Linked DNA regions of Drosophila melanogaster. The protein of the gene in region 1 interacts with the protein of each later gene in a pairwise test. Each region holds a gene or a part of one and is shown in the gene's direction. Other genes may lie near its edges. The genes, in order: Obp47b and CG2698.

What was found.
Region 2: the proteins of Obp47b (region 1) and CG2698 interact in a two-hybrid assay, tested with the Drosophila melanogaster proteins (one large-scale study listed by BioGRID).

Annotation. Positions count from the first base shown.
Region 1 is NT_033778.4:11,301,546-11,304,931, reverse strand, and holds Obp47b (Odorant-binding protein 47b), read left to right. Parts: upstream 1-1,944; 5' UTR 1,945-1,955; coding exon 1,956-2,060; exon of another isoform or gene 2,061-2,127; coding exon 2,128-2,250; exon of another isoform or gene 2,251-2,313; coding exon 2,314-2,685; downstream 2,686-3,386. Other genes in the region: CG7741 (uncharacterized protein), read right to left, coding at 1-181, 240-348, 407-724, 781-1,112, 1,170-1,336, 1,400-1,482.
Region 2 is NT_033777.3:7,999,460-8,003,387, forward strand, and holds the start of CG2698 (uncharacterized protein), read left to right. Parts: upstream 1-2,102; 5' UTR 2,103-2,336; intron 2,337-2,435; 5' UTR 2,436-2,462; coding exon 2,463-2,987; intron 2,988-3,094; coding exon 3,095-3,700; intron 3,701-3,760; coding exon 3,761-3,928. Other genes in the region: PIG-H (phosphatidylinositol glycan anchor biosynthesis class H), read left to right, coding at 586-1,044, 1,127-1,204, 1,265-1,393; Kmn2 (kinetochore Mis12-Ndc80 network component 2), read right to left, coding at 1,357-1,413, 1,461-1,556, 1,628-1,755, 1,820-1,826.

The DNA of each region.
Region 1 (3,386 bases):
TTGAGCTCCTTCCAATCATCTGGACTTAGTTGAGCAGCGCAGGGCACATGCTTGGTGGACAATATCATGACATGGTGTTTGTTAATCGGTCCTTTGGCCAGAGCAAGATAAAAATGTTCGCCCACAGTGATAATGAGATGCTTCTCCACATCAGGTGAGGATAAACAGAACCAGCATTTATCTACAAATATAGGAATAGTATTAAGGATGCAGCTTGTAAAATTAAGTACTAGACAAACCTTGCTCAATCTGCGGTATTCTAGGACGTTTATCTCTTTTGTTATTATCACCGCCTTGTCGCTTGCGTCTGCCACCATCCATGTCGTAGAAGTATTGTCGGTTTTCTGACTGAAAGAATATATAATTAGTCACTTGGAGTACTTATAGATATGTAAAGGTTACCCACCGAATCATTCTTGCCAATAGCTCCGCCTAAGTCCAAGCCAATGAAAGGACACGGAATTTCATTTGTTGTCTTCTGCGCTAGGTCCAATAAGCGTGATTTGTCTACTGGCTTCAGGCTGAGTGCATAGATGTACTTGGCTTTTTCGGCATTTCCCACTTCCGCAAGGGAAATGAAGCGAGTGCACAGTTCAAACTGGGTAGTCTCATCTTTGGGCATCCGAAAGGGTGCGCTTTCGTAGTGTGTTCCATTAATGGCACAAAAGTGATAGCGCGGCTTTATTTCACGACAAAGAAATGATACCAACTTGGATGCTGTGGCCTGAGAAGAGGAATTAGTTAGTTTCACAGTAACAAGTGCTCTAGATGTATATTTACGTTTTCCTTCTCCTGCATACCAAAGGGCCATTGCGATGTTAGGAGCACATCCACACCGCGGTACTCTGTGGAGCAGTTCTTGGACACCAAACATGAGTTCCTCACAGCGATGACATCGGCTTTGGTGAACTCGTGTTCCGAGCCAGCGGAATCTGCAGTGCCCTGTGCCTCCAAACCACTTAGATAGGCAATTTTAACACCACTGCTCAGCGTGTAGACCCCACGTCGACCAAGATACGTAAGATTGGTGCAGATTTCACCGTCCGTCAGATTTTCAAAGTATTTTTCATGCTCCCTTTGGTTGGGTCCCAGGATATAGGTGGGAACAGTGACTAAGTACAGGGAAAGGGTTAAGAGAATAATAAATGCTTATATTACACTTAACTTACTATGCTTAAAACCATTTTTGTAGGCAATCAGTTCCTCGTTTTGCTTGTCCTCCCCGAAGAAGTCACCGACGCAGCAAAGGATTTCGAAGGGTCCCGCTTTTTTGTTGACCTGCTCCACGCGCTGAAATAGCTGCTTGAAGCGACCTCGCACATCGCCCACAACTAGGCTAGGAGAAATAAACAATATTAAACCCTTAAATCATATAATTTATACCATGTTTTTTACTCACATTTTGGTGCCCGCGTCCATGGTTATCGATAACTGAGCAATCGATTGAATCTTCATCATGTTGGTACTGCCAACTTGGTGCATTAATTGGGCGGCAGAATTCGTAATGGAAATCTAATTAGGTCATTGATTATTTTAGAAATATTAAATTTCTCAAAGCCAAATCATGTTCCTTTTACCGAATTGGAACATAATTCTCGCAATTATAGACCATTTCGAGCACCATGACACATTTTACAGCAGCATTCCCAGCACCACAGTTTTTTTTCGGCAATTGCTGTTTAATTGAGCGAAGAACGTTCTATGCTTATATAACGAACTATAACCTTACCGCAATGTCAATGGCCCAAAACATGACATTATTTATGACATTGGCCCCAAACAGCAGCAGATTGCAACAATGAACTTTTGCTGGGCTTTTCTGGTCATGCGTGGCTGGCACTATTAAGTGGCCATTACTCTTTTCGTTCCATTAGATTTGGAGCTGCGTGAGGGATATAAAATGGGCCTTGCGATTTCATATTCATATCAGTCATTTTACTCACTCAATTGCAGCTATGTCGCCCAGTCAGCTTCTTGTGATCTTCGCTTCGCTGGCCCTAAATACTCGTCTAGTATTTGGCCAAGCCACGATTGATTGCCAAAGACCACCGCAACTAGTGGTGGGTTTTGAGTTTGGTTTTTTTTTAATTTTAAAGTGATTCTTAAGATATTTTGACACTTTCCTAGGATCCCGCACTCTGCTGCAAGGATGGGGGTCGCGACCAGGTGGCTGAGCAGTGCGCCCAACGGATTTTAGGAACAGCAAATGGACAGAAGGCAGGAGGTCCTCCATCTTTGGACACGGCAGCAGTGAGTAATCTCAGCCTATGAAATTGTTAAGAAGTCGCAATACATAATACATTATCTACTTAGTGCCTAGCTGAGTGCATCCTCACATCCTCCAAGTATATTGATGAGCCCCAGAAACTAAACCTGGCAAACATACGCAGTGATCTCTCCGCTAAGTTCTCCAACGATACCCTTTACGTGGAAACCATGACCATGGCGTTCTCCAAGTGTGAGCCCCAATCGCAGCGCAGACTGGCCATGATCATGCAGCAGCAACAACAGGTGCAGCAGCAAAAGACGCAGCAGCAACAACCAAGATGCAGCCCCTTCTCAGCCATCGTCCTTGGGTGCACCTACATGGAGTACTTCAAGAACTGCCCCGATCATCGGTGGACTCCAAATGCCCAGTGTACTCTGGCCAAGGCCTACGTAACGCAGTGCGGTTTGGGTGCCTAACATCACGACCTGATAGAGATGGTGCTTGTACAATGTACATACGTTTATAAAAAGTAGTCATTAAATAAGAATCAAATTAACTTTTTATATTCATCTAATTTTGGATCGCTGGAACTAATTAACGAGGTAGTAACTATGTGACGATCGCACCTGAAGTATACAAACGATCTGAATTAAAACTTGTGACGAAATATTAACCGTTTTTTAGATTATCTCACTTTGTTTAGGTTTGAAATAAAATATAAAGAAAATGCTATTTTATATTGTTGTTCTTTCCGTTAATCATAGAAGTACGCACCATATACATTTATGTAACATGGAGTAAGGCTGAAGGCTGGCAACAACCCGGTTGGCAGCGCTGTTGAGCAGCAACATGATTGTCGGAAATCGAAGTTATCGACAATCAGTCATCGAAGGAACGATCGCAAGGCAGCAGTGGAGTCGAGTGGAAGTCAGCGTTGCAGTCAGTCGAGTTCTCAGCAGCAGTCGTTCGGTCACAAACTAAGAATACTTTATATAATTACCGCATTTAGAATTAAACTAATAATTAAATTAATAATAAACAATAATAATAAACAATCTTACATGGGGGCTCGTCCAGTCCTAAATCGGTTATATGAAGGTGCAGTTGTTTAAAGAAAAAAGACATTGTGGTGTGCGTGGGTATAGTCTTTAAAAGTTGTAAAGTTGTGGCTATATCT
Region 2 (3,928 bases), on another chromosome or scaffold:
GTTCAACTTGTAACGAATCAATATGTATTCATATTTCAGAACTCGGTCATATTTCCACTTGCTGGTCAGAGTCTCAGAAAAACAAATTCATGTTTCGCGCCAATAAAATGTGCAGCAAGTAGCTTTTGTAAGACTTCGTCAAAACGCATCGGAAAGATACTGGATAAAATACCGATATGAACTCTAATAAGGCATACTTTATAAATATTTTAAATTATATGCATATAAGCTTCTTTTTAACAATTAAAAAATATTCAAAATGCACAGATAGCTGCTTAATTATATAGCAAATATGCGTACATCAAATACCATAAATCCGAGTAGTGGAAACAAGTTATTAGCATATTATATAATGGCTATTTTGGAACAAGCTAGTTTTTCCCAAATACTAAATCAAAAAGATATACATGAGATGCAAGTCCTCTTTGTAATGATATAAAGAAATATAAAATTATAGACGGACTTAATACATTCACTGTTATCTGTGCTGATAACTGTTCCATTTGAATTTAGTGGCAAACCACCACAACTGTTTGACCACTTGAGACTAACCCGTTTCACCATCTGGTAACACCTGGTCGAGGAATGGAGCCCAAAGTGACGATCCACAGATATTATAGCCGGCAAGCGAAATATGAAGGAGCCGTGGAAGCGGACTTGGAACTGTGCATCAAGCACTGCGGCGGCGACGTGGTTCGCATCGAACTGGTGAACCGGCTGCATGGAATCCAACTGCAGCGCAAGTTGCGTCGACTACTGCTGCTCATGTTCCTATCTATCGCTTATTTTGTGGGGACCTGCGGGTTTGATAACAGAACGATTAGTTTCCTGCAGCCCCGTATTCTGTACCCACTGATAACGTGTGCTTCCGTGGCCATCCTGCTCATCCGATCCACTCTGAACCTGGTGCAGGCTGAGCGGTTGTTCTACAGCTGGGACATGGCACTCCAAATGGAGACGGTGCGCTCCTTTGGCAGGGAATCGGTCCTCTGCGTCCAAAGGGGACACATCGAGGACATAGTGCTAAACGAAGTTATTGAAGACGTACGAACTATTGCTGATAGACATACGTTAAGGATTCAAGTTCTAATGTTTCTAATATTTATTCACTTTGTTTCTCTTTCAGTTGGACGTAAAGTACATGCTTATATTACGTACAAAAGGAAGTCAATTCAAGAAGCGCCCTATAATACCCCTATTCAATGTGAGTTCACTTTCGTTCATGTAAACGTATGTATTTAATGATTAAGCTCCTTTTTTCCAGAGTCAATCCCCCTCAATTGAGTGTCTGCAGCACACATATCACGTGCTGCATAAATATTGGCTGAACAGCACCAAAGACCGGTCAGAAGAGTCCTACAGCAAGGACAAGCAGTCCTTAGTGAATTCGTAGTCCTTGGCCATATCGCTGAACTGTTAAAGTATTTATTAGAGACTTAATAACATTTAGACAAACTTACTTGTACCGTGGCTGTAGTCTTTTCATCTTCTGGAGGTAGTGGTGGTAATTGTGGAACCTTTAACTCGGTTTTGACTATATTGAAATCAGCACGGACCTATACGAGATTATATGTAATTGTGAATAAAGTAAATATTGCAAATTTGAGATTTTACAATTGCAGCTTACCAAATTGTTCAGTTCTGATCTAAATTTCTTTTTGAGTACTTGGCGGTAGGTTTTTAGGTACGTGTCCTTGTTGCTGTTTAGTTCCTTCTGGATATTTTGCAACTCGATCAACTGCTGCAGTGAAAAGTCTGTACATAATTTGTAGTATTAATGTATTTCTATAACAGTAAAGATTAATTTTAATGCGCTTACTTTCCATGGCGTCTGTTTTTTGTTTTGAAAATGTGGCTGTGTTGAAAAGCGTCAATGGCCTTCATTACAGTAAGTATGTGATAAAAATTACCCTTTTTACGTACGCCTGTTTCGCATCAATAGCCAATTTGTAAAGATTATATCTTGTATGCTCCTAGGCAATTGTTTCTAAGATATATCTATGTGTACTTTTTTTTATAATATTTTATACAACAAACATTAATTATTTCATGCGATATTATTTCTGTTTTAGGGGATGCGCACTGTGTATCGGCTGGCTGCCAGTGTTGCGAACCGACCCACTTCCCAGCCCTGCCCGCCTGACGTAATTTGGCAGAAACGACGTATTTTTGTTTATGTGAGTCCGCTCCCCGCCCCTCATAAAGTGAGTGGCCAGCTGCTCGTCCAATGACCACCTCTAGTTGCGGAATTTAGTATCTCCTTGTCGGAATCCCACCCAGGCCCCGTAGGAATCCATCTGTTGCTGACCACTGAACACTGAGGCATTTCATCAAAAGTGAGTTTCCATCAGTGGAGCAGTTCCGAGAACAGTCATTCGGCTGTGCTACTCATATGGACATGAAGCTCTAATCCCGTTTTCTCTATCCGACTGCAGTTCCCCGTTTCTCCGGGCACACGCAAAATGAATCGGTCCGAACCGATTCCCATTCGACGGGACCGCTCTTTTGACAGTGTGATCAACCGCCTGCTCCGTATGAGGTCCCAGAATCATGAGAGCTTTCGCGCCGCCATGTACAATTTCCTGATCGCCGCAGGAGTTGCGGCATTCGTCGCTGTGTGCTTCATTCTTGGGCCCTTCGTCCGTCCATTGCTGTGGGCCTTCCTCATGGGCGCCGTGCTCTTTCCATTCAAGCGACGTTTGGCGGAGAGCGTAAACAGTTGGTTTCACCGCTTGGAGGTGCGCGACTCCAATGTACTGGTTTCGATCTGCCTATCGCCGCTGGAAGCCACAGAGCATTGCGGGCGGTTGCTGATCGGGTGGCTCTGCGAACACTGGCAACTCCTCCTGGCCGGATGCGGAGTGGCCGGGTGCATTAAGCTGCTGGTTTTATATGCACCGAAGGGTTTTCTGCTGGCCATCTGGCATTGGATCACCTTTTCCCATGGCTTGTTCGTTCAAATTATTGGATTCCTCAACGTATACGTGGTAAGTTCCTTGTCGATTTTTCGATGGTGAATCATAGGAAAAAATCTTAAAAAAACCAGTTGATATAGAAAAGAACGAAAAAACAGAACATTTTTAATTGATTGCAGCTCATTTCCTTGATCGTGGTCTACTTGAGCTGCGTCCACTTCTTTTGGAGGCCAGAGAATAGTGCCCACTTCGTGGTCGCCGGACAATCCATGTGGATAGCTGTAGCGGGCTATCTGAGTAGCTTTCTTGGCGCCCTGCAGGTGCCGGTATTTCTACTGGTTATGACCTATGTAACAGCATCTACGGCATATCATCTGCAAACCCTAGATGATTCGGGATCTTATCTTCACCGCCTGCAAAAGTTGTTCGACAAGAACGATTTTGAGCGATCGCTAAGCAACTTCAGCATTTGTGGCAGACCAGGCAACGAGCCACTGAGTCCGGGGCTGCAGTCGGATGTGGAGGATGTATCGTTAAGTGACACTGTCGACTCGACGGACACGTTTGATGTCAAGCCAGAAACGGAGGTTCCCAGTCACCAGAGCGACACATTCTTTAAGCTCCTTTTTTATGCCTGCTTGGGCACATTCCTCTATCGCAACGTGTGGATGTTTATCCTAGCGGCAATCCCAGTAATTCTGCATCTTATTTACACCGTAGGAGAGTATACGGGAATTACTAAATTTGTTTGCAACAAAATTAGCGAAGTTTACGCAGCGCTGCGTGTGAGTTAGACATAAAATTCGTATATTATGAATTTACATTTTTTATATTTATGTTTGCAGTTCTGGGCAATCGAACACCATTCTGCCGTGCTGCCACTCTGTCTACCTGGTGTCCTGGAACTAAACTATAAAATCAACACTATCGTGCGGGATTCACTAAAGGCCTCCGTTGAATCAGTCACCTCCATCCTAATGATCATCCTCATGCTGCTTATCATCGTGTTTCTA